Linked DNA regions of Xenopus tropicalis. The protein of the gene in region 1 purifies or fractionates together with the protein of each later gene. This does not show direct contact. Links are inferred from orthologs where the notes say so. Each region holds a gene or a part of one and is shown in the gene's direction. Other genes may lie near its edges. The genes, in order: ilf2, stau1, hnrnpr and hnrnpu.

The links.
Region 2: the proteins of ilf2 (region 1) and stau1 purify together in Homo sapiens (affinity purification with mass spectrometry; 3 studies listed by BioGRID). This does not show direct contact. The link is inferred for Xenopus tropicalis from reciprocal best matches to the Homo sapiens genes ILF2 and STAU1.
Region 3: the proteins of ilf2 (region 1) and hnrnpr purify together in Homo sapiens (affinity purification with mass spectrometry; 3 studies listed by BioGRID and IntAct, counting the BioPlex papers as one, with this or other methods). This does not show direct contact. The link is inferred for Xenopus tropicalis from reciprocal best matches to the Homo sapiens genes ILF2 and HNRNPR.
Region 4: the proteins of ilf2 (region 1) and hnrnpu fractionate together in Homo sapiens (co-fractionation; 3 studies listed by BioGRID and IntAct, with this or other methods). This does not show direct contact. The link is inferred for Xenopus tropicalis from reciprocal best matches to the Homo sapiens genes ILF2 and HNRNPU.

What each region holds. Positions count from the first base shown.
Region 1 is NC_030684.2:144,167,202-144,172,235, forward strand, and holds the end of ilf2 (interleukin enhancer-binding factor 2 homolog), read left to right. Parts: intron 1-473; coding exon 474-588; intron 589-2,005; coding exon 2,006-2,096; intron 2,097-2,195; coding exon 2,196-2,353; 3' UTR 2,354-2,366; intron 2,367-3,195; 3' UTR 3,196-3,379; downstream 3,380-5,034. UniProt on the Homo sapiens protein: Chromatin-interacting protein that forms a stable heterodimer with interleukin enhancer-binding factor 3/ILF3 and plays a role in several biological processes including transcription, innate immunity or cell growth.
Region 2 is NC_030686.2:38,141,424-38,145,422, forward strand, and holds the start of stau1 (double-stranded RNA-binding protein Staufen homolog 1), read left to right. Parts: upstream 1-1,199; 5' UTR 1,200-1,404; intron 1,405-3,999. UniProt on the Homo sapiens protein: Binds double-stranded RNA (regardless of the sequence) and tubulin.
Region 3 is NC_030678.2:82,754,077-82,760,146, reverse strand, and holds the end of hnrnpr (heterogeneous nuclear ribonucleoprotein R), read left to right. Parts: intron 1-379; coding exon 380-529; intron 530-1,427; coding exon 1,428-1,549; intron 1,550-2,316; coding exon 2,317-2,929; 3' UTR 2,930-4,798; downstream 4,799-6,070. UniProt on the Homo sapiens protein: Component of ribonucleosomes, which are complexes of at least 20 other different heterogeneous nuclear ribonucleoproteins (hnRNP). hnRNP play an important role in processing of precursor mRNA in the nucleus.
Region 4 is NC_030681.2:44,495,466-44,500,859, reverse strand, and holds the end of hnrnpu (heterogeneous nuclear ribonucleoprotein U), read left to right. Parts: intron 1-77; coding exon 78-341; intron 342-928; coding exon 929-1,048; intron 1,049-1,139; coding exon 1,140-1,265; intron 1,266-2,270; coding exon 2,271-2,439; intron 2,440-2,636; coding exon 2,637-2,903; intron 2,904-3,394; coding exon 3,395-3,582; intron 3,583-3,726; coding exon 3,727-3,801; intron 3,802-4,145; coding exon 4,146-4,199; 3' UTR 4,200-4,957; downstream 4,958-5,394. UniProt on the Homo sapiens protein: DNA- and RNA-binding protein involved in several cellular processes such as nuclear chromatin organization, telomere-length regulation, transcription, mRNA alternative splicing and stability, Xist-mediated transcriptional silencing and mitotic cell progression.

The sequences.
Region 1 (5,034 bases):
TAATGGTTAAATGATTCCCTTTTCTCTGTAATAATAAAACAGTACCTGTACTTGATCCCAACTAAGATATAATTACCCCTTATTGGGGCAGAACAGCCCTATTGGGTTTATTTAATGGTTAAATGATTCCCTTTTCTCTGTAATAATAAAACAGTACCTGTACTTGATCCCAACTAAGATATAATTACCCCTTATTGGGGCAGAACAGCCCTATTGGGTTTATTTAATGGTTAAATGATTCCCTTTTCTCTGTAATAATAAAACAATACCTGTACTTGATCCCAACTAAGATATAATTACCCCTTATTGGGGCAGAACAGCCCTATTGGGTTTATTTAATGGTTAAATGATTCCCTTTTCTCTGTAATAATAAAACAATACCTGTACTTGATCCCAACTAAGATATAATTACCCCTTATTGGGGGCAGAACAGCCCTATTGGGTTTATTTACTGGTTAATGATTCCCTTTCAGACGCTGCCTACAGATGCTCGCCGCCGGCCTTTTCCTCCCCGGCTCAGTTGGCATCACTGACCCCTGTGAAAGTGGCAACTTTAGGGTTCATACAGTCATGACTCTGGAGCAGCAGGTAAAGGGTTACTTCTGCCCCTGGGACCCATTGTAGGGGGCTGGGCACCTACCTGCCAGTATGATTGGGACCCCTGTGGGTACCCGCTGAGGGCTATGTAGAACCCTATACTAGCAGCAAGAACTCTCCTAGCCTGTTCCTATGCGCACAAGTGAAAGGGGTTAAGTTTTAGTATATTACAGAATGGCCTATTCTTAGCAACTTTGCAATTGGTCTTCATTATTTTTGATAGTTTTTTTGGCTGCCGGGGTCAGTGTAGTCAAATCAACAATCGCTCTGTGAACTTTTTTACTCATTACCTTTCCATTCAGTCCCACTCCTTATTCTCTCGATTAAACCACTGCCTAGTTGCTATGGTAAACAAGACCCCAGCAACCAGGTAGATGCTTAAATTGCAAACTGGAGGGCTGCCGAACAAAAAGCTGAAAACCCACTTTAAAAAAAAAAAAAGTCAACCAATTGGAATATTAACGTCAATGTCAGACGAAAACTTTAAAGGACAAGTCAACCCCAGCAATAAGTTGATTCCAATCAACTTTCTAATGTGAATTTATTGAAACTTTTTAGTGCTTTTAAAGGTTCTTGTGTAATTGCTATTGAAAGCAGCATTTGCTGAACAATGTTGCAAAGGTCCGTCTCCCCCAGCGAGTCGGGTCTGTCAGGCTGCTGCCTTGTGTTGTATTGTTTCAGTCCGATAGGGGGAATAGGAAAGGGACAAACACTGCTTCTAGTAGCAATTATTGATATAGATATATATTATAGAGATAGATAGATATTAGAGATAGAGATAGCTGGATGGATAGATAGATATTATAGATAGATAGAGATAGATATTAGAGATAGATAGATATGATAGATAGAGATAGATAGATAGATATGATAGATAGATAGATATGAAAGATAGATAGATAGATAGATAGATATGACAGATAGATAGATATGATAGATATGATAGATAGATAGATATGATAGATAGATAGATATTATAGATAGATAGATATTATAGATAGATAGATGGATATTATAGATAGATGGATATTATAGATGGATATTATAGATGGATATTATAGATGGATATTATAGATGGATATTATAGATGGATATTAAAGATGGATATTATAGATAGATATATAGATATAGATGGATTAGAGATAGATATATACATACAAATAAGTCAGAAACCGTTGCAGATTTGTAATGAATGTATATTGCAAAGTTCCTTAGATTTATGTTTTATATTATATTTTGGGTTGACTTGTCCTTTAATGTGAATAATATTTTTTAGGGTCAGCTGACCATAAGGTTGTGTAGCTTTAGAATTAGAGTGCAATGCAGGGAAGGGGCAAGTACAGGCATGTTTGGGAATACCCCCCCCCCCTTTCCCTGTTTCTAACCCAGTCCCTTCTCCCTTCCCCAGGACATGGTTTGCTACACTGCCCAGACGTTGGTCCGTATTCTCTCCCACGGGGGCTTCCGGAAGATATTGGGCCTGGAGGGAGATGCCAGCGGTAAGGGCACCGGATATACCCCCCCCCCCCCCCCCCATTGGGGCAACTCCCTTCCTGGAACAGCCCCTCCTTACTGACCAATCTCTTTGTTCCCTTCAGCTCTTGCCACGGAAATGTCTACCTGGGACGGAGTCATCGTGACCCCTTCAGAGAAGGCCTATGAGAAGCCCCCCGAGAGGAAGGAGGGAGAGGAGGATGAGAACCAGGATATCCCAGAGGGGGCGGAAGAGGAGGAGAGCATGGAGACACAGGAGTGATACTTATTTAAAGGTACAGGCCCGTATGTACTACCGCCATGCCTGTTGGGGGCAGGGGCTTAGGCCTGACTGGGCGTTTGGTTTGGCTTTTGTAGGTCTGGGAATAAAGGGCTGCTTCCCCTTTAAATTAACTTTTACTATGATATAGACATTTATATTCTGAGAGAATTTGCCATTGGTCTTCATTATTTTTTTTTTTTTAGTTATTTAGCTTCTTGTTGAGCTGCTCTCCTCCGTTTGGTTTTTACTTTACTAAGTTTACTTTTAATGTTATAGAACGGCCAATTCTGAGCAACTTTTCAATTGGTCTTCATTATTTATTTCTTATAGTTTTTTTTAAATGGGGGTCACTGACCCCGGCAGCCAAACCCTATTGCTCTGTGAGGCTCCAGTTTTATTGTTATTGTTACTTTTTATTCCTTATCTTTCTATTCAGCCCCTCCCCTATTCATATTCCTGTCTCTTATTCAAACCACTCCCTGGTTACTAAGGTAACTTGGACCCTAGCAACCTGACAGCTGCTAAACTGCAGAGCTGCTAAAAAAAATATTGAGATAAAAAAACTACACTTACTCACTTTAAATTCCTTATCTTTCTACTCGGCCCCTCCCCTATTCATATATTAGCAACTCTCTCAAACCACTCCCTGGTTACTAAGGTAAATTGGACCCTAGCAACCAGATCATTTAAACTAGTAATAAAACATGAAGACCAATTGCAAACTCTCCATCATAAAAGTCCTATTCAAGATCCTCCTCCCAAAATTACGTTAACCCTTTCCCTTCCCCATGACCACGCCCCTCAGAACCAGCGGCAGCCACTCACCCCCTTTTTTTTTGCAGATTTCAGTTGGTCTGGATCCCCCTCTGCCGGCGCCGAACACATTGGGTCTATTTGTGGACCAAATGCCACGAGTTCCTGTTTTATTTTCATTCGTTCTTAGCTTGTCATGTGACTTGTTTTATACTGTAGGGATACATTGTATTTTTTTTTTTTTTTTGCCAGCAATAAATTTTTATTTCGACACCTCCTTTGAGCTTTTTCTTCCTTCTCTTGATCAGCCAATGAATGGGCAGTTCTGCCTTTTGCTCCCACACTTCTTCCTGTTACAGTTAGAGCTGCATCACTTCCTGTCAGCTGATCTCTGAGGGAGCACACAGCCCATCGCAAAATGGCGGCTCAAAGGAAAGGATCAGCTTGTTGCATTTTGTTTGAAAAAAAAAATAAAAATCACTGATTGGTTGCTATGGGTTGCCACCCATTGCTATGGGATACTACTCCTAGATGTGCAATAGCCAATTACTGTTCTTTTGTGGAGAAAGAAACTGCTGTTCCCTGTAGGGTTGGCCCAACCTATGGCTGCCAGCTCTCCTGCCCAGCCCGGCGGGGGGGGGGGTTTGTTACTGAATCGGCATCAAAAAAGGTTTAAAGACACACACACACCTATTAGGTGATTATGGTAAGTAGCAGTTCCCCTTTAAAGGGGAGGGTCACCTTTAGTGAGTTATAGAATTGCCCATTCTAAGCAACTTTTCAATTGGTCTTTATTTCTTATGGTCTTTGAATTATTCTTCTGCCTCTTTGCAGCTTTCAAATGGGGGTCACTGACCCCGGCAGCCAAACCCTATTGCTCTGTGAGGCTCCAGTTTTATTGTTATTGTTACTTTTTATTCCTTCTCTTTCTATTCAGCCCCTCCCCTATTCATATACCCGCCTCTCATTCAAATCACTCCCTGGTTGCTAAGGTAATTTGAGCCCTAGCAACAGTATATCTGACCCCGGCAGCCAAACCCTATTGCTCTGTGAGGCTCCCGTTTTATTGTTATTGTTACTTTTTATTCCTTATCTTTCTATTCAGCCCCTCCCCTATTCATATACCCGTCTCTCATTCAAACAGCTCCCTGGTTACTAAGGTAATTGGGACCCTAGCAACCAGATACCGTATATACTCGAGTATAAGCCGATGGGAATATAAGCCGAGGTACCGTATATACTCGAGTATAAGCCGATGGGAATATAAGCCGAGGTACCGTATATACTCGAATATAAGCCGATGGGAATATAAGCCGAGGTACCGTATATACTCGAGTATAAACCGATGGGAATATAAGCCGAGGTACCGTATATACTCGAGTATAAACCGATGGGAATATAAGCCGAGGTACCGTATATACTCGAGTATAAGCCGATGGGGATATAAGCCGAGGTACCTGATTTTACCTAAGAAAACTGGAAAAACGTATTGACTCGAGTATAAGCCTAGGGTGGGAAATGCAGCCGCTACTGCTAAGTTTCAATAATCACAATAAATACCAATACAATGACAGTAATTGAGGCATCAGTGGGGTATATGTTATTCAGTATTTATTTCAAAGAAAAAACAGTAAACTAGCTCTGTAAGTGGAGAAGAGGGGCAACAATAACAATATGAGTACTACCCCCCGCTCATTGCACATTGGCAAACTGGCAGCAGGCCGGTCTCGGAGGGATGTAAGTGTTAATAAGTATTGCTAGTGGGAGCCTAGGCCAGGGCACTGGGGGGTCTGGTTGTGGGGGGCCTAATTTGCACACAAAGCACAGAGGGTGTTAGTCTGGAGGGACCCATGGCACCCGACTCGAGTATAAGCCGAGGGGGACTCAGCACATTTTGGGTGCTGAAAAACTAGGCTTATACTCGAGTA
Region 2 (3,999 bases), on another chromosome or scaffold:
GTCTGAACTCTACAGCCCAAGTCACAAGGGTGCTCAGGAAGCTGTGTTGCTGCTCATTTACCCCTAAGGCTAATGCCAGAAGTGGCGTTTTTACGCTGCGTATTTTCTCCGCCTAAAAACGCCACACAGCCCCTGACTATGGCGTTTTTCAGCCTAGTACTGGTGACGCAGCAAATCCCGTTTCCATGGTGCTAATAGTGCGAAATAGTAAAAACGCCGCCTATTTCCGCTAGGTCTGGCAGCTGCCTTTGTGTATACATAGGAATAGCTTGCTGTGCAAATACTGGCGTATTTCGGCCAACGCTTGAAAAATCCGTGCTAAGGCGTTTTGTATGGTATTTACGCATAGTGTGGTTTCCATCGAGACTGTTTAAGTTATTTCTACGGATGATGATATCGTGCGTTTTTCAGCCGCCGAGAGAATTAGAAAATACGCAGCGTAAAAACGCCACGTGTGGCATCAGCCTAAGAGCATGCAGCCATTTGCAGAGTCCTCCTTACCTGGGCTAGGTATTTCTGGGGCTGAAGAATGAGGGGATTTGGGGAGCAATTATAGGACAAGAGAGAGATGGACCTTTGGGAAGGGCATCATAAAGGGACTCTGGAATTCCACCCAAATATCTATGGGAAGCCCAGGGGCTTGGTGATTGGCTCATTCAGAGTTAACCCTGTGCTTGTTGATGTGAAAGCCTTTGGCTAGTTGCAGCCTGGGCAAGCCTCAGCTGGAGGATCGCTCCTAGGTCTCTCACAGTTCCAAGCAGGTGTCCCCCAACCCCTGTGAATAGGAGGCATTTTCTCTATAGCCCCCCACTGAGTAAAGTTTCACACATTCTCTCACATGCAAGGAAAGGCACAAAGTCCGCCCGGGTACCGTAACCAATAACAACCAATAAGGTTTGCTTTTACAGGAGGCAAGTAAAAGGTCATTTTTGATTGGTTGGTACAAGTGGGACCCAGCGCACACCTTGCACCTTTCTCAGCTCCATTGATTGTAAGATTCCCAGCCATAGCCATGTCAGAGGGAAATACTACAGATACTCAGCCCCGGGGGGGTGCCAGTAGTGTAATCAGCATGATTAAACCCGATTAAACCCGATTAATCCCCGCAAGCCTATTCCCATTGCCGCATCTCACAAACACTCCGCCAAGCAGACACACACCAGCCGGTACTATAGCCCCGCCTTTCCTTCATTCCCCGCCCCTAAACCATTCCGCCCGGCTGGTGACGTCACTTCCGGAATCTCCGGCTCTCCATTCTCTTTAGTGTTTGCCGTGTCCGAGTCTCCCCCCTTCCTCTTTCCGCCGGTCTCCTGGTACCGAGCCCCCGCTTCACTACATGGACTAGGGTGTGAGCGCCTTCCCTTCCACTCCCGGGCACACAGCAGGGACGAAGACAGAGAGAAGGTGAGCCAGCGGGGCTGGGTGGGAGCGGGGCTGGGTGGGAGCAGGCCCACTGGCAGGGGGGAGGGAGCGCCTACTGGGCAGGGACTTTGCAAAGCGCTGGGGCGTCTGGGAAATTGTTGGTCCCCGACTTGGATACTTCTTCTGTACCCACCCCAGTCTCTGTCTCACCCTCCACCCATATTCCTGCCCATTGTGCCCTTTGCACCCATACACCTGCTCACTATGCCCACTGAGCCCAAATCCCTGCCCACTGTGCCCTCAGCGCCCAAACCCCTGCCCACTGTGCCCTCAGTGCCCAAACCCCTGCCCACTGCGCCCTCAGCGCCCAAACCCCTGCCCACTGCGCCCTCAGCGCCCAAACCCCTGCCCACTGCGCCCTCAGCGCTCAAACCCCTGCCCACTGCGCCCTCAGCGCCCAAACCCCTGCCCACTGGGCCCTCAGCGCCCAAACCCCTACCCACTGCGCCCTCAGCGCCCAAACCCCTACCCACTGTGCCCTCAGCGCCCAAACCCCTGCCCACCGCGCCATCAGCGCCCAAACCCCTGCCCACTGCGCCCTCAGCGCCCAAACCCCTGCCCACTGCGCCCTCAGCGCCCAAACCCCTGCCCACTGCGCCCTCAGCGCCCAAACCCCTGCCCACTGCGCCCTCAGCGCCCAAACCCCTGCCCACTGCGCCCTCAGCGCCCAAACCCCTGCCCACTGCGCCCTCAGCGCCCAAACCCCTGCCCACTGCGCCCTCAGCGCCCAAACCCCTGCCCACTGCGCCCTCAGCGCCCAAACCCCTGCCCACTGCGCCCTCAGCGCCCAAACCCCTGCCCACTGCGCCCAAACCCCTGCCCACTGCGCCCTCAGCGCCCAAACCCCTGCCCACTGCGCCCTCAGCACCCAAACCCGCGCCCTCAGCGCCCAAACCCCTGCCCACTGCGCCCTCAGCGCCCAAACCCCTGCCCACTGCGCCCTCAGCGCCCAAACCCCTGCACACTGGGCCCTTTGTACCTAGTGCACCCCTGCCCTCACATCCTTCCCCAGTGGCCCCTCTATAGACCCTCTCAATGTTCTTGCTCCCATTGTGCTCCCTGCACCCACATCCTCCATCTGCAGTGTCTCTTGTTATACAGTTCCAATATGCTTTTTAGATGCCGCCCCTGTCTGTGCATTATTACAGTATTCGTACCCATGAGCTTTTTCCCTTCATACATATTTATTGTGCCCCCCGTACTGTCCATACCCTGTGTGCCTCCTGCTCTCTACATACCCACTGTGCCATTAAAGCTGCTGCCCCCCTCTGTACCTATCCAGTGTGCCCTCTGAACCAACATACCTGTGTAATGCGCCTCCATATTTAGTAAACTCTTTGCACCCCTATTCCAAATACCCCACTTTATAGTGCGTCTCACCTAGTGAGTGTGTCCGGTTCTGTGCTCCCCATTTCCGACACCCACTGCACACATTTCCCTGAGGTGGTGCGTTACATTATACGCTACATGCACAGCAATTACCATATTAAAGGCAAAGTAGAACCACCTCATACAAACACACAGTGATCTGTCAGCGCGAGGACAAGCTCCTGTGTAGTTCTGCCCTATGGGTGCCCTTCTACTGCTTTACCCAGACTTATAGGGGATATGAACCCAAAATGACACAATGCACAATTTGCTTAATTAACAAAAATGCCATTCTAAGCCACTTTCCAATATACATTCTTTAAAACCATTGTCAAGTTCTTTGCAAATGTAATTGCTAATAATGCATTTCTCTGTCCCATTCTGCACTGTAGCAGAAGTTCTTCTCAGCTGGTCTGGGTCAAAAGTCAGAATCAGCCGAGCAGAGAATATAAACAGCCAGACACACACTGCTTTCACTAGCACCTATATTTAGAGAACTTCAGAACAACTGAAGCTTGGTGTTTCATGTGTATTGGAAAGTATTTACATTTTCTATCCTTAAGCAAAAAGGCAACATATATAAAAAAAAGCAATTGGATAATTGCAAACTTCCCCTTGCTTTTTAAACATTGGGTAAGGGGACCTCTCGTCACCGCTTGCACAGTGTTTCCCATTGCAGCAACTCGCAGTGCCGCTGTGCTTATGGCTACATAGGCAGAACCCTTGCTCCCAAATGTATCTTTTTTTTTTTGTTGTTAATATAAAAAAGGGGAAATTCACGGTACAGTTTAGTTTTAGTTTGCAATCTTCCCTATTTTTATGAATTTTGGAAATCAACTCACTGACCCCCTCAGACAAAACCGTGTCTGAATAATCGTAATTTAATTTAACAAAAAAAAAAAAATTAGCAAAGACAACTTATGAGTTTTATAGTTGCTGGGGGTTGTTGACCCTAGAAACCAGATGGCTGTTTCTCCCAGCAGCGGTGGAAGAGGGCAAAATTTGATATAAATATGGCAGCAGGGCAGGGAAACGTTTCCAAAAAGTATACGTGAAACCATGGTAGCGGATTTCATGACAGAGGCTTGCGAGTACAACCACCAATAACCAATCAGATCCCTGCTTTCACTTTCTAACTTGGAGTAAGCTGATTGCTAATTGGTTGTAAAGTAATGGTGCATTTGGGTTTGTTAGACAGAAATCCTACAC
Region 3 (6,070 bases), on another chromosome or scaffold:
AACATTCAGGAAAACCTTTCAGTAAATTGGTTGTAAGTGGCTTACAGAGTAATAGTTGGTATTACCATGTTTACAGTTTTTAAGTTATATTGTAAAATTTACACATGGAATTAAAATAGGCCCGTGTGTTTAGCTTTTGTGTGCAAAACAAGCATCGAGAAACTAGTTACATTTTTAACATTCCTTTGCTACATTAGTGAGAGAAGCTGAAACCTTCACCTTCCTTCAGTGTACATTTGTCTAAGGGCTCCTATACAGACTTGCTAGTACACTGATTTAAGTTCTTTGCAGTGGCTGTAGGCTTCCTAACAAGATTTTGCATATAATGTAGAGAACAAAATTTGGGTACCAGTCTTAATTACTGCTGTTTCTTTGTCAGGTCAAAGTCCTATTTGTAAGAAATCTTTCCTCCACTGTGACTGAAGAGATCCTGGAAAAAGCTTTCTCTGTCTTTGGAAAGCTTGAGCGTGTGAAAAAGCTGAAGGATTATGCCTTTGTACACTTTGATGAAAGAGATGCTGCAGTAAGGGTAAGACTGTTTGGAGAAGATGAATGCTATTTTGAAGTATAAAATTGAATTGCTGTTGCTTAATGAGTTCCTGATTTGGTTGCCATGGCACAACAGAGGTAACCTTGCCAATCCCCCCAGGTTATGCTGCTGTGTAGGCAGTAGTCTCAGTTCATTATTCCTGATCCTGTGCTTTCAGAAAGAACCAGCTTGTTACAATGGATCTGCAATCAGATAAGTCTATGAAGGTTTTCATTCAACTAGGTCATGGTATAAGTAAATCTAGAGCAGGGGTCCCCAACCTTTCTTACCCGTGAGCCACATTCAAATGTAAAAAGAGTTGGGGAGCAACACAAGTATGAAACATGTTTCTGGGGGTGCCAAATAAGGACTGTTATTGGCCATTTGGTAGCCCCTATGTGGACTGGCAGCCTACAGGAGACTCTGTTTAGCAGTACTAATGGTTTTTATTCAACCAAAACTTGCCTCTGAGCCAAGACTTCATAAATAAGCACCTGCTTTAAGGCCACTGGGAGCAACATCCAGGAGTTTGGAGAGCAACATGTTGCTCACAAGCCACTGGTTGGGGATCACTGATCTAGAGCAACTGGACTTGCTGTAATGACCGAAGACATTTCACTTCTCATATGAGGAGCTTCTTCAGTTTAATTGAATATTATGGGAAGTGCCTCGGCATATAAATTATATTCTGAGGTCTTCTCGTACCAGTCAGTTGAACTGAGAAAGCTGGGTTTTGTGGAAATAAGTTTAAAAAAAACTATGAAAATCAGAATGCTAAGAAATCTGCCTCAGACTCTTTAGTCCACCAACCTCTTGTTTATATACACTTTTAGAACATGCTTTTGAGTATTCATTTGTACTTTTTTCTTTTTGAATTTTTTTTTAATTTCTTATTTAGGCCATGGATGAAATGAATGGAACAGAACTGGAGGGGGAAGAGATTGAAATAGTTCTTGCTAAGCCACCTGATAAAAAAAGGAAGGAACGACAAGCAGCACGTCAGGCTTCCCGGGGAAGTTCGTGAGTATATTGAGATTTTTGAGTAAACATTGTCAACTGAAGCAACTGAAAGGTCAAGCTCTGGATGTTTTAACTAATCTATAAAATTCATGCTGGCATGAACTGCTAGTTCACCAATTTTTGTTGTTTTTTTTTTTTTATGTTTTTGTTAGTAATAATTTTAATACAAATGTCAATGTATCTCGTTAGACTCAAGCTAGAGCCTAATTTTTCAGTTTGGATTTTTCAAATAGCAGTATTAAAAAATTCTTGTGTAATTTTCATTTGTGCCTTTACTTTGCTTTTGTAGAATTGTTTTCAATCTGTCTGCAGTTAAACCTAATTTTTGTGTTTTTTTCTGTTTCTCCTATAACTTATATTTACCAAGGCTTAACTTTGATTTTTATTGTGCCTGTACTTGGGCAGATATTGGGGGTGACATGGACATATTTGGCTTAGTTAGCAGCATGTTGGCTTGTGAATGGAGTCAAAACTTTTGCCTTCCTGAAGAATATCTGATTGTGACTTTATTTAGTCACAATATCTGATTTAGGATAGAAAACCACAAGACTCCCAGGATGAAATCATTCAGTGGCCAAGGGTTAAATGACCGATAAGCCCATCTGGCCCTTGTTGAGTTGGGCAGGTTGCTTGGGGCATAAGGCAGCATTTGGTTTTTTCAATCAGCCTCCTTATAAGAATTCAAATGTGTTAATATATTAAAAATGGTATGAATATGTATTTGTAAAATGCTTTAATACTACTTTTTTTTCCCCCCCATTCATTAGGTATGACGATTATTACTATTACCCTCCACCTCGAATGCCACCTCCTGGTAGGGGCAGGGGCCGTGGAGGCAGAGGGGGCTATTCCTTTCCCCAAGATTACTATGGCTATGAAGATTACTATGATGATTACTATGCATACGACTATCATGACTACCGTGGGGGTTATGATGATCCATACTATGGCTATGACGATGGCTACCCTGTGCGAGGAAGAGGAGGCAGAGGTGGGAGGGGTGGACCACCGCCCCCCAGAGGTAGATCTGTTCCTCCCCAGCGTGGAGGGCGCTCCAGCTATGCCCCTAGAGGTTCTCCAATGGGCCCTCCTCGCGGATCCCGTGGTGGACGTGGAGGACCCGCTCAGCAACAGCCACGAGGGCGAAACTCAAGGGGCAGCCGTGGCAGCAGAGGTGGGAACGTTGGTGGTAAAAGAAAGGCAGATGGTTATACCCAGCCAGACTCAAAGCGCCGCCAGACCAACAACCAACAGAACTGGGGGACCCAGCCTATCGCCCAGCAGCCATTGCAGCAAGGTGGTGATTATACTGGTAACTATGGTTACAGTAATGACAACCAGGAGTTTTATCAGGATACTTATGGGCAGCAGTGGAAATAGGCAAGGTCATATTCTTCAGACAAAACACACATACACCCACTCTTAAATATATATTTCATATATATATATTTGTGCTTTGGGAACTCTGCCTCTAATTTTATTGGCAGTGTTTCATCATTAAGCTGTATATACCTTAGTTTTTGCTTTATTGCTCTGTTACAGTTGGTATTCAAATGGAATGCACTGGTAGAGTTATGGTATTTTAAGTATTGCTGAACCTTGTGTTCTGGATATGGGGATTTGGAGAGTATTATGGGCATAAGTCAGCAGTTAACTAGAGCATGTATCCTGTATTTGGGCTTTTCTTTCCCATTCCACCCCTGTGCAGAAAGTTTTTGTCTGCTTATATTTAGAGAAGTAACTTTGTGGCATTGTCTTCTATACATGGACTGCAATGTTTTTTGTGCTATTAAGTCATTTTGTTTAAAATAATTGGTTACAACCCCTCCCCAGTTCAAGAATACTAAGGATTACCAGTGTTTTTAGTGGTTTTTAAACTTTTTTTTTTATTATTATGTGAGGGGTTTTAATGCTGTTGGACAATGTTCAATCATGATTTTGACAGGATGCAGTATTGACAATTTCCCCTTGGATTTGGAGTATCTTCTACAGGATTAAGCTGTATATAACACTAGTGCTGTCTTAAGTAAAAAAAAAAAAAAAAAAAAATTAAAAAAATATTTTAAAGATTCATGTATTAAATGACTGTGCATTTTGGATTCCTAGAACTAGGTGAAGTTGTGTTTATTTAATTTTTTTTTATGAAGGCAAAAAATATGCCTAACAAGTTTGGCTTGGGTAACAAAAGCCTTGACCGTTTGTTCTGTGACTGTATTTACAAATTTATTGTTCATGTACAATTTCAATAAAACTCCACAAAATCCTATTGCAAAAAAATTCTAAATATACATATATATGAAGTTAAAAGAATCATTAAAAAACAAAAAAAACAAAAATGCAAAAACTGAGTTGTGATTCTTGCAACAAAAACTTCCAAAAGACTGAACTGCATATGTGAGTGATCAAATCTGTAAACTACAAACTTAATCCATGATATAAAGCTATGAAAGTGGGTTTTAAATTAATAATTTGTAAAATCAATTAAATACACTTGGTTGCCAAATTATCTTGATCTTGATGTGCATTTTCTTAGGTGGTTTGAAGGCAAAAGATGAAATTGTATACATTTTATATACATATATGCATATGACCTCAATCTACATATTGATTGAGAATGGGCTTTTCCAGTAATTTATGTTTGATTAATCTGATAATTTTTCTGTTTTGAATTTTCCCTGTGCACACCCACAAAACAAATAATGGTTTTAATGGTCTAGAAGACCAGACTACACTATATACAGACTTTAGAAGACAAAAATTCTACATTTCTTGATAATTTCTGTTAAAAACAAACTGGCTCATAAAACCCTCTTAAGGTTTGTATACTAGTATCCACTAAAAAACCAAAATATGGTTACTTTTGCTGTCAATATGCATCAGCGAGGCTGGTAGAGCAGTTATTGTAAGGTATCAAGGTGTGGCTTACAGAATATAGATGATCTCTCCACACTTACATCCAGTAACACATTAGACTGCCTGTTTCCAACAGTGCTCAGCTACCTTCAATAGTAGTAGTTTTTAGGGTACATATAATCGTACTCTCTGCTACAAAATTCTAACACCTATAAGTAAAGTTGTTTTTCTTTCCAGCATTTTTATGGAAAGATTGCTTTCCCCCCTTTTGTTTGGTTCTAACGTCTTTTTTTCTTTGGATATTTTATTTGCCACCCTATCTTCATAGCATTGCCTTGTTTGTTATATAATGATCACATACTAAGATTTTGGCAGATGACCATTTTCTTAGCTATTAACATGAAGAAAATTTGATCAAAATTACCAGGATTTAATTCTTAAGGCAACAATAGTGGCTTGTTGCCCACAGAAGGGTGTCTCCTCCTGTGGTTGATAAAGCGTCCGGAAATACCTTGTAAAACACTTTACATATGTTTATTAAGCCATGATTAAGCTGAGTTTTTGCTTGCAAAATATACTTACAGTGGTCCCCATTCTTCTGCATTACAGGGTATTGTCAGACATTTTTTTTTGCTGCAGGAAAGACTTAACTCCCTTGGATGACAAATGAATGTCATTGCTCTAAATGTCACAACTAGATTCTGGATTCTAGTGTCCATTCTAGTATTAAAAATAGGAAAAAGCAAATCCTAAAATGTCAAGTGCCAATAAATAACTATTTGTCGTTTTAAAATTTTCGTGACTAATTTCTTCTGTGCTCCAGGGGGCAAAAAGCTAAAGCTAATCATTTTAATGTTTTTAACAACTGCATACAAATCATTTGCTTCAGGCAAAATGAGCCTTGTGTGAAATTGAACTTGTTTACCAGTTTGATTTTGTGAAGAGGTTTGCCATCCATTAAAACTTTATGGTGACAAAATACAAAAATTAATTTTAAAGCCTGTGTTTAGATATTTTATACATTAATTGTGTTTTTGAATGGATTTGCCTGACCGCTTCCTGAAACAAGCCTTTTGTAGGGAGTGGTGGAGAAAACTTCATGATTTCTAAATCTATTTGATCACTCATTTACAGCAGTGTTTAGAATATATTTCTGACTGTATTATATGTATGGAAATTCAATTCATATTTCAAACAGGTCTGAGCAGAGGAAACATGTCAGTTCAAAGATCTCAGTACTTTACTGACCGTGGATTTCTATTACCATTGGTGTCAGCATCTACATCAAGAATCTTCCTCCAAATTTCAGCTGTACAATTAATTTTGTAAAGTAAAGGATTTTTGTTGACCAAAATGTGTTTCAAAACTCATTTCATTAAAGATGAAATTGAAGATTAAATTGTTTATACAGCATTAAAGTGAAATTTGAATTGTGACTAATCCAATCTACTTCTGTGTCTTAAAGTGCACTCCATGATCCTTGTGGAAATTAATTGTATCCATCTTCTAAAGCAATTTTCACATGCAATATATTTTTTACTTTTTTTTTTTCGTGATTGTTAGTTTCCTCCAGCACTTGGTTCTTTCAAGACTTCCTAATGATCTAGATAGACAGGTGACTGGAAAAAAATCATTACATATTTAAGGATCTTTCAGTTTGAGAGATTC
Region 4 (5,394 bases), on another chromosome or scaffold:
TATCTTGCTTTTGATTGGGTTAGCATTTAAAAGTGGGGACACTAATTTTGATCTTCACTGGTTTTTTTCTGTTGCAGAATTTTGAAGAAGATGAAATAGAACTTTCTTATGCAAAAAATGGCCAAGACCTTGGAGTTGCTTTTAAGATTAACAAAGATACCATATTGGAGCAGGCTCTCTTCCCACACATTCTCTGCCACAACTGTGCCGTAGAATTCAACTTTGGGCAAATGGCAGAACCATTTTTTTCTATCCCTGAAGGCTATACATTAATTCAGAACGTTCCTTTAGAGGACAGAGTCAGAGCACCTCTGGGGCCAGAACAAAAGCAGGATTGTGAAGTAAGTATATTTGAAAGTAAACTGAAGAGAACAGTTTTTTTTTCTTCTCCCTCTTTTTGCATCTTTCAATTCATGTTGTCTGGTTTTGGGTGTAAACTATAGGTGGGAGAACTGGAAAGACATTTAGCCAGTGCTTATTGTTGCAGATACTCTAAGATCACTGCTCTGTAGTGCTCCTCAAAGCAAATTAGGCAGAAGGGTGTCCAAGCACTTCTGCCTTGTGCTAGTGCTGAGTTCATCTGGCCTTGGCATGTTTGCATGTTCTCTGTTTCTGTGTGGGATTTCTTCCACACTCATACAGGCAGGTTAATTGCTCATGATTAACACTGATCATGTTGGTGCTATTTAAATACTGGATAATAAAATCTTTACTAGGTTGAAGATAAGTGATACACACGCTTGCCAAGGACAGTTACTGTTAAACTTCATTGGAACTCTTGTTGGTTAATTTATCTTGTGTTTTTATGTGTGGTATAGTGATATGGTTATTCGTGTCATAATGCTTAATATGTGCTCTTTTTTTTAGAATTAAGAATACAAATACATTTATTACATTCAGAGCAAATATGTTTTTTTTTTTTTTAAAGGTTATAATGATGATTGGCTTGCCAGGTGCTGGAAAAACAACATGGGTAACTAATCATACTGAACAAAACCCTGGCAAATACAACATACTTGGAACGAACACTATTATGGAAAAGATGACGGTAAGAATCCTAATATATAATTTTGGTATGTTAACCTTTTTTTTTTTTTTTTTTTCTTGACATTTTTACTTTAAAACCCTTTTCTTTGTAGGTTGGCTGCAAAAAGCAAATGTCTGACACTGGAAAGTTAAATGCTTTGCTGCAGAGGGCCCCACAGTGCCTAAGCAAATTTATTGAGATTGCTGCTCGCAAAAAAAGGCATTTTATCTTGGATCAGGTAAGTTTTTTTTTTATATATATATATATATATATATTATTTATATTGCCATTTTTATACAGGGCCTTAGAGAGACATACCTTGACCGGCAGTGTTTTCTGCTTTCAGGCAATTGTTAAACTTTGTTTAGAAACCTGCTGTCTTCTATATTTTGTTAAATAAAAAATATAATTAATTTTAGTCATGTATGCTTTTAAATATAAATAAATTGTATATTTACCGTTGGCTAGTAAAAATTTCAGAAAACTTACCATAGTCTATAGAAGTAAAATACAAGTTAACCTTTTCTCAGAAGAACCTCAGTAATTGAGGTTGGTAATTAGAAATGTTATTAACTAATGTAGCATATTGTAACAATTTAAAAAAAATCTGAAGTTTTTGCATAAGTAAAGGAATTATTCAAAAGGTGAAAAATGAAACTTTAAATTTTAGTATTAGAATGTCAAGTTATTTCTGATCTATTAGAAAACAGTGGGAGTGAAAATATTTTAAAGGCAAACAATTCTTTAAAGTGATCCATAATTTCACATGTTAATATGATAATTATTAATACAATAACAAACCTTGCTTTCAGCATACAGGGCTTTTTTTTTTTCAATAGAAATAAGTCCATTTTACCTCACTTTGTATAAAACTTATAACTGAAATATAAGCTATAGTAATTAAGACACCTTGAGCTTTCTAACCTTTAAATGCAGTATTTTAAGTACAGGTGTGGAATATATTGTACAAAATACTTAGCACCAGGGAGTCTTTATACAAAATGGAGCACCCTGCCATAAGGCTACTAAGGTGCCTTAATAGTTTTCTAATAATAACCAGAACAGCAAAATCTATTTGTAATCATACAAGGCCCCTCTGCCTTTCATCAGGTTTAAGCTGTAGTGTGTGTGTACATACACTATCAAACTGATTTGTTTCTTGTGTTGAGTGGTGCAAAGTGTTCCAGCTTTGCCTTCCTAAAGTTAACATTTTTTTGTTTGACATTTCTTTTCTCTTTTGCAGACAAATGTGTCAGTAGCTGCACAGAGAAGGAAAATGTGCTTGTTTGCTGGCTTCCAACGCAAAGCAGTTGTTGTTTGCCCAACAGACGAGTTATATAAAGAGAGAACACAGAAAAAATCTGAGGTGGAAGGCAAAGATCTTCCAGAACATGCAGTTCTCAAAATGAAAGGTAAGTAGATTTCCATGTTCTTGATCGCCATTGAGCCTCTTCGCAAGGCAGTTTTTCAGAGCTTATGGCTTCTATGCTATGATCTGACACAAACTTGTTATTGGTCTCTAATTTCTACTTTACTTTGTAACAACCATTCTGATATGGTGCTAATATGATGGCCCCTGATAGAGCACATTTTTTTTTTTCCCTCTCAGGTAACTTTACTCTTCCAGAAGCAAGTGAGTGCTTTGATGAAATCAGTTATGTGGAGTTGCAAAAGGAAGATGCTGATAAACTTATTGAGCAGTATAAGGAGGAGAGTAAGACGTCCCTTCCACCAGAGAAAAAACAAAACATTGGAGCAAAGAAACCAAACAAGAACAAAAATACCAAAGGCAGAGGTGGTATGTCTCACGGTCATGGACACAGAGGCCGGGGAGGTGGAGGATACAATATGCGTGGAGGAAATTTCAGGGGTGGAGGTATGTTTGCACCATGTAGTTGTACAGAATATTGTATACATTTAGTAAAGAGGGCTGAGGCAAACATATCAAAGATGACTTAGTTTCAGAATTTGTTCATTGACCTTTGTCAAAACCACCTTAAATATTTAGGCAGGGGTTCAGTGAAGCTGTGACCACAACAAGAGGTCCTCTTGAGAGAGAGATGCCCTCCCCTTTAAGCAACAGGGATTGTTTGTCCATATACTGCAATATACATCCAGCTGGCCAACTATGTCGGTCATCCATGGTCTGGGCAGTCCTACACTTGCTTTTATCTGATTCATTAAAACACCCAAATGGTTGCCCTTTTATTGGCTCATTGGGATCACCTGACTGTAGCTGGAAAGGGTGGGGGTTACAACATGACGCTTACCACTGCTTCTGTGCAAACTAACAAAAAAGGGAAAAGTTGTGCTCACCGCTAAATTTTAAACCATTAGGCATAAATTTAATAACTAACTATCTTGTAGCTCCAGGAAACCGTGGAGGATACAACCGAAGAGGAAATATGCCCCAGCGTGGTGGTGGAGGCGGTGGTGCCGTTGGGTATCCATACCCCCGTGCACCAGTCTATCCTAACAGAGGTGGCTATGGTAACCGTGGAAACTTCAACCGTGGCGGGGGCGGTGGAATGCCCAGCCGTGGCAACTACAACCAGGTAAAACTTTATATTAAGTTTTAATTGTCCCCTCCCATCTTTCTTTGTGCCATGTTTTAGGAAACAAGGGGGGAATTTGGTTGCTAAATATCTTAATTGAGAAACTCTGCATTGCAGTTTATTGACCTAGAATTTTCTCTGCAGAACTTCAGAGGAAGGGGAAATAATCGTGGCTTCAAAAATCAGTCTCAGGGTTACAACCAGTGGCAGCAGCAGGGTGTAAGTATCTCTCACTGAAATTGCTTAATGACTTGCAAACTTTTTTTCCCTTTTTGCACCCTATATTTTTTTTTAATTTTTTTTTATTTCACTGAGCTACTCTAACACACAGACATTTGCCTCCAGCTTTGGCCATATTCCTATAAAATCTTTTGCCGTAAGTTACATAGGATCAATTTTATTACTACTTGAACTTCTTGGAATTAAGTCTGGATTGGGCTCCTAGGTTAAAGTAGTGGGATGAAACTTAATCAAATGTTACACATGACCTAAGCAGTTCTTGTTGGCAAATAAGCTTAAAAGCTTGTTAACATGTTAATATTTACCCCTTTTTCTAATTGCAGCAATACTGGGGTCAAAAGCCATGGAGCCAGCAGTACCACCAAGGATATTATTGAATACCCAAATAAAAATGAACTGATACATATTTCTCTTCAAAACCTTCACAAGAAGTCGACTGTTTTTCTTTAGGCTAACTTTTAAACAAAAAACAAACATTCCACAAGAGGAAGTGCCTGCGGGTTCTTTATTACTTTTGTTTGGGTTATTCCCATTTATTTTGTTTAGTTGCTTTCTGGGTTGAATTTTTTTTTTTTGTACATTTTAATTGCAGTTTTAAAGCGATGAATAAGAACCTTAGCATTGTGCACGATAAGAATGTGTCAGTATTTCAGGGTTCTTCATTTTTATCTGTAATGTGACTTTTTTTTTCCTTTTTTATTACCATAACAAAAGTAAAGATGTTGCTTTGTAACTGGTGTGTTTTATTAAGGACTGCAATGCCATAAGTGTCCAGGGGCTTTTTAGCTGGGATATCCTGTCACACAACAGTTGAAATGTTGGCATGCTAAGTGGCCCTTGTTGACAGATTGGAACTTTGTAAAAACCCGTTTCCTCTCTACCCTCCACATAGGGAATAAATAAGGCATTTTAAGAGTTTCAGGCTAGCTTGTAGCATTGGAGGAATGCTTTATGAAACTTTCACATGAACCATAGGGTGTAGTATGTTAAAGCTGTTCAATGTATTTTGCTTTCTGTGGAAACCGCAGAGACTTTGACTTGTGAAGGTTCAACACCATTTACTCCGTTTGTTATGCATTTTGATTCGAAGAAAAGGCGTATTGCCTATTTCTTATTAAACTAAACTTGTTGTAAATCTAGTTGTCCAATGGGATCTATATGAAGTTAGCTGTGTGTTTGTATCTCCACTTCCCCCATCCCTCTTTATTTGCCTAGTGTGCTTGTAGTTGCACCAACTTTGTAAACTAATGAAATTGTGAGTCGTTTAATATTCAGCATTTCTTTTGAATCATGTCAGTTCTTTAATGGTTATCTCTCACCTGCTAACCTCTATTGAGGGTGAGCTGAAGAATCATATGCAGACCTTTATTTGCAATAAATAAACGTGAAATACATGCTTGTGTTTGGGATTGTCACACCTCTTAAAAAAAGTCAAAATCCCTCTTATCTGCCATGACTGCTTATCCATGAATACAGATAAAGCAATAAAATGTTTGTGATGTATAGACTCATTCCACTATAAAATAGTGGATTGGGGTTCTGTCCTTTTACAGCAGTTTGGCCTTGGTCTAT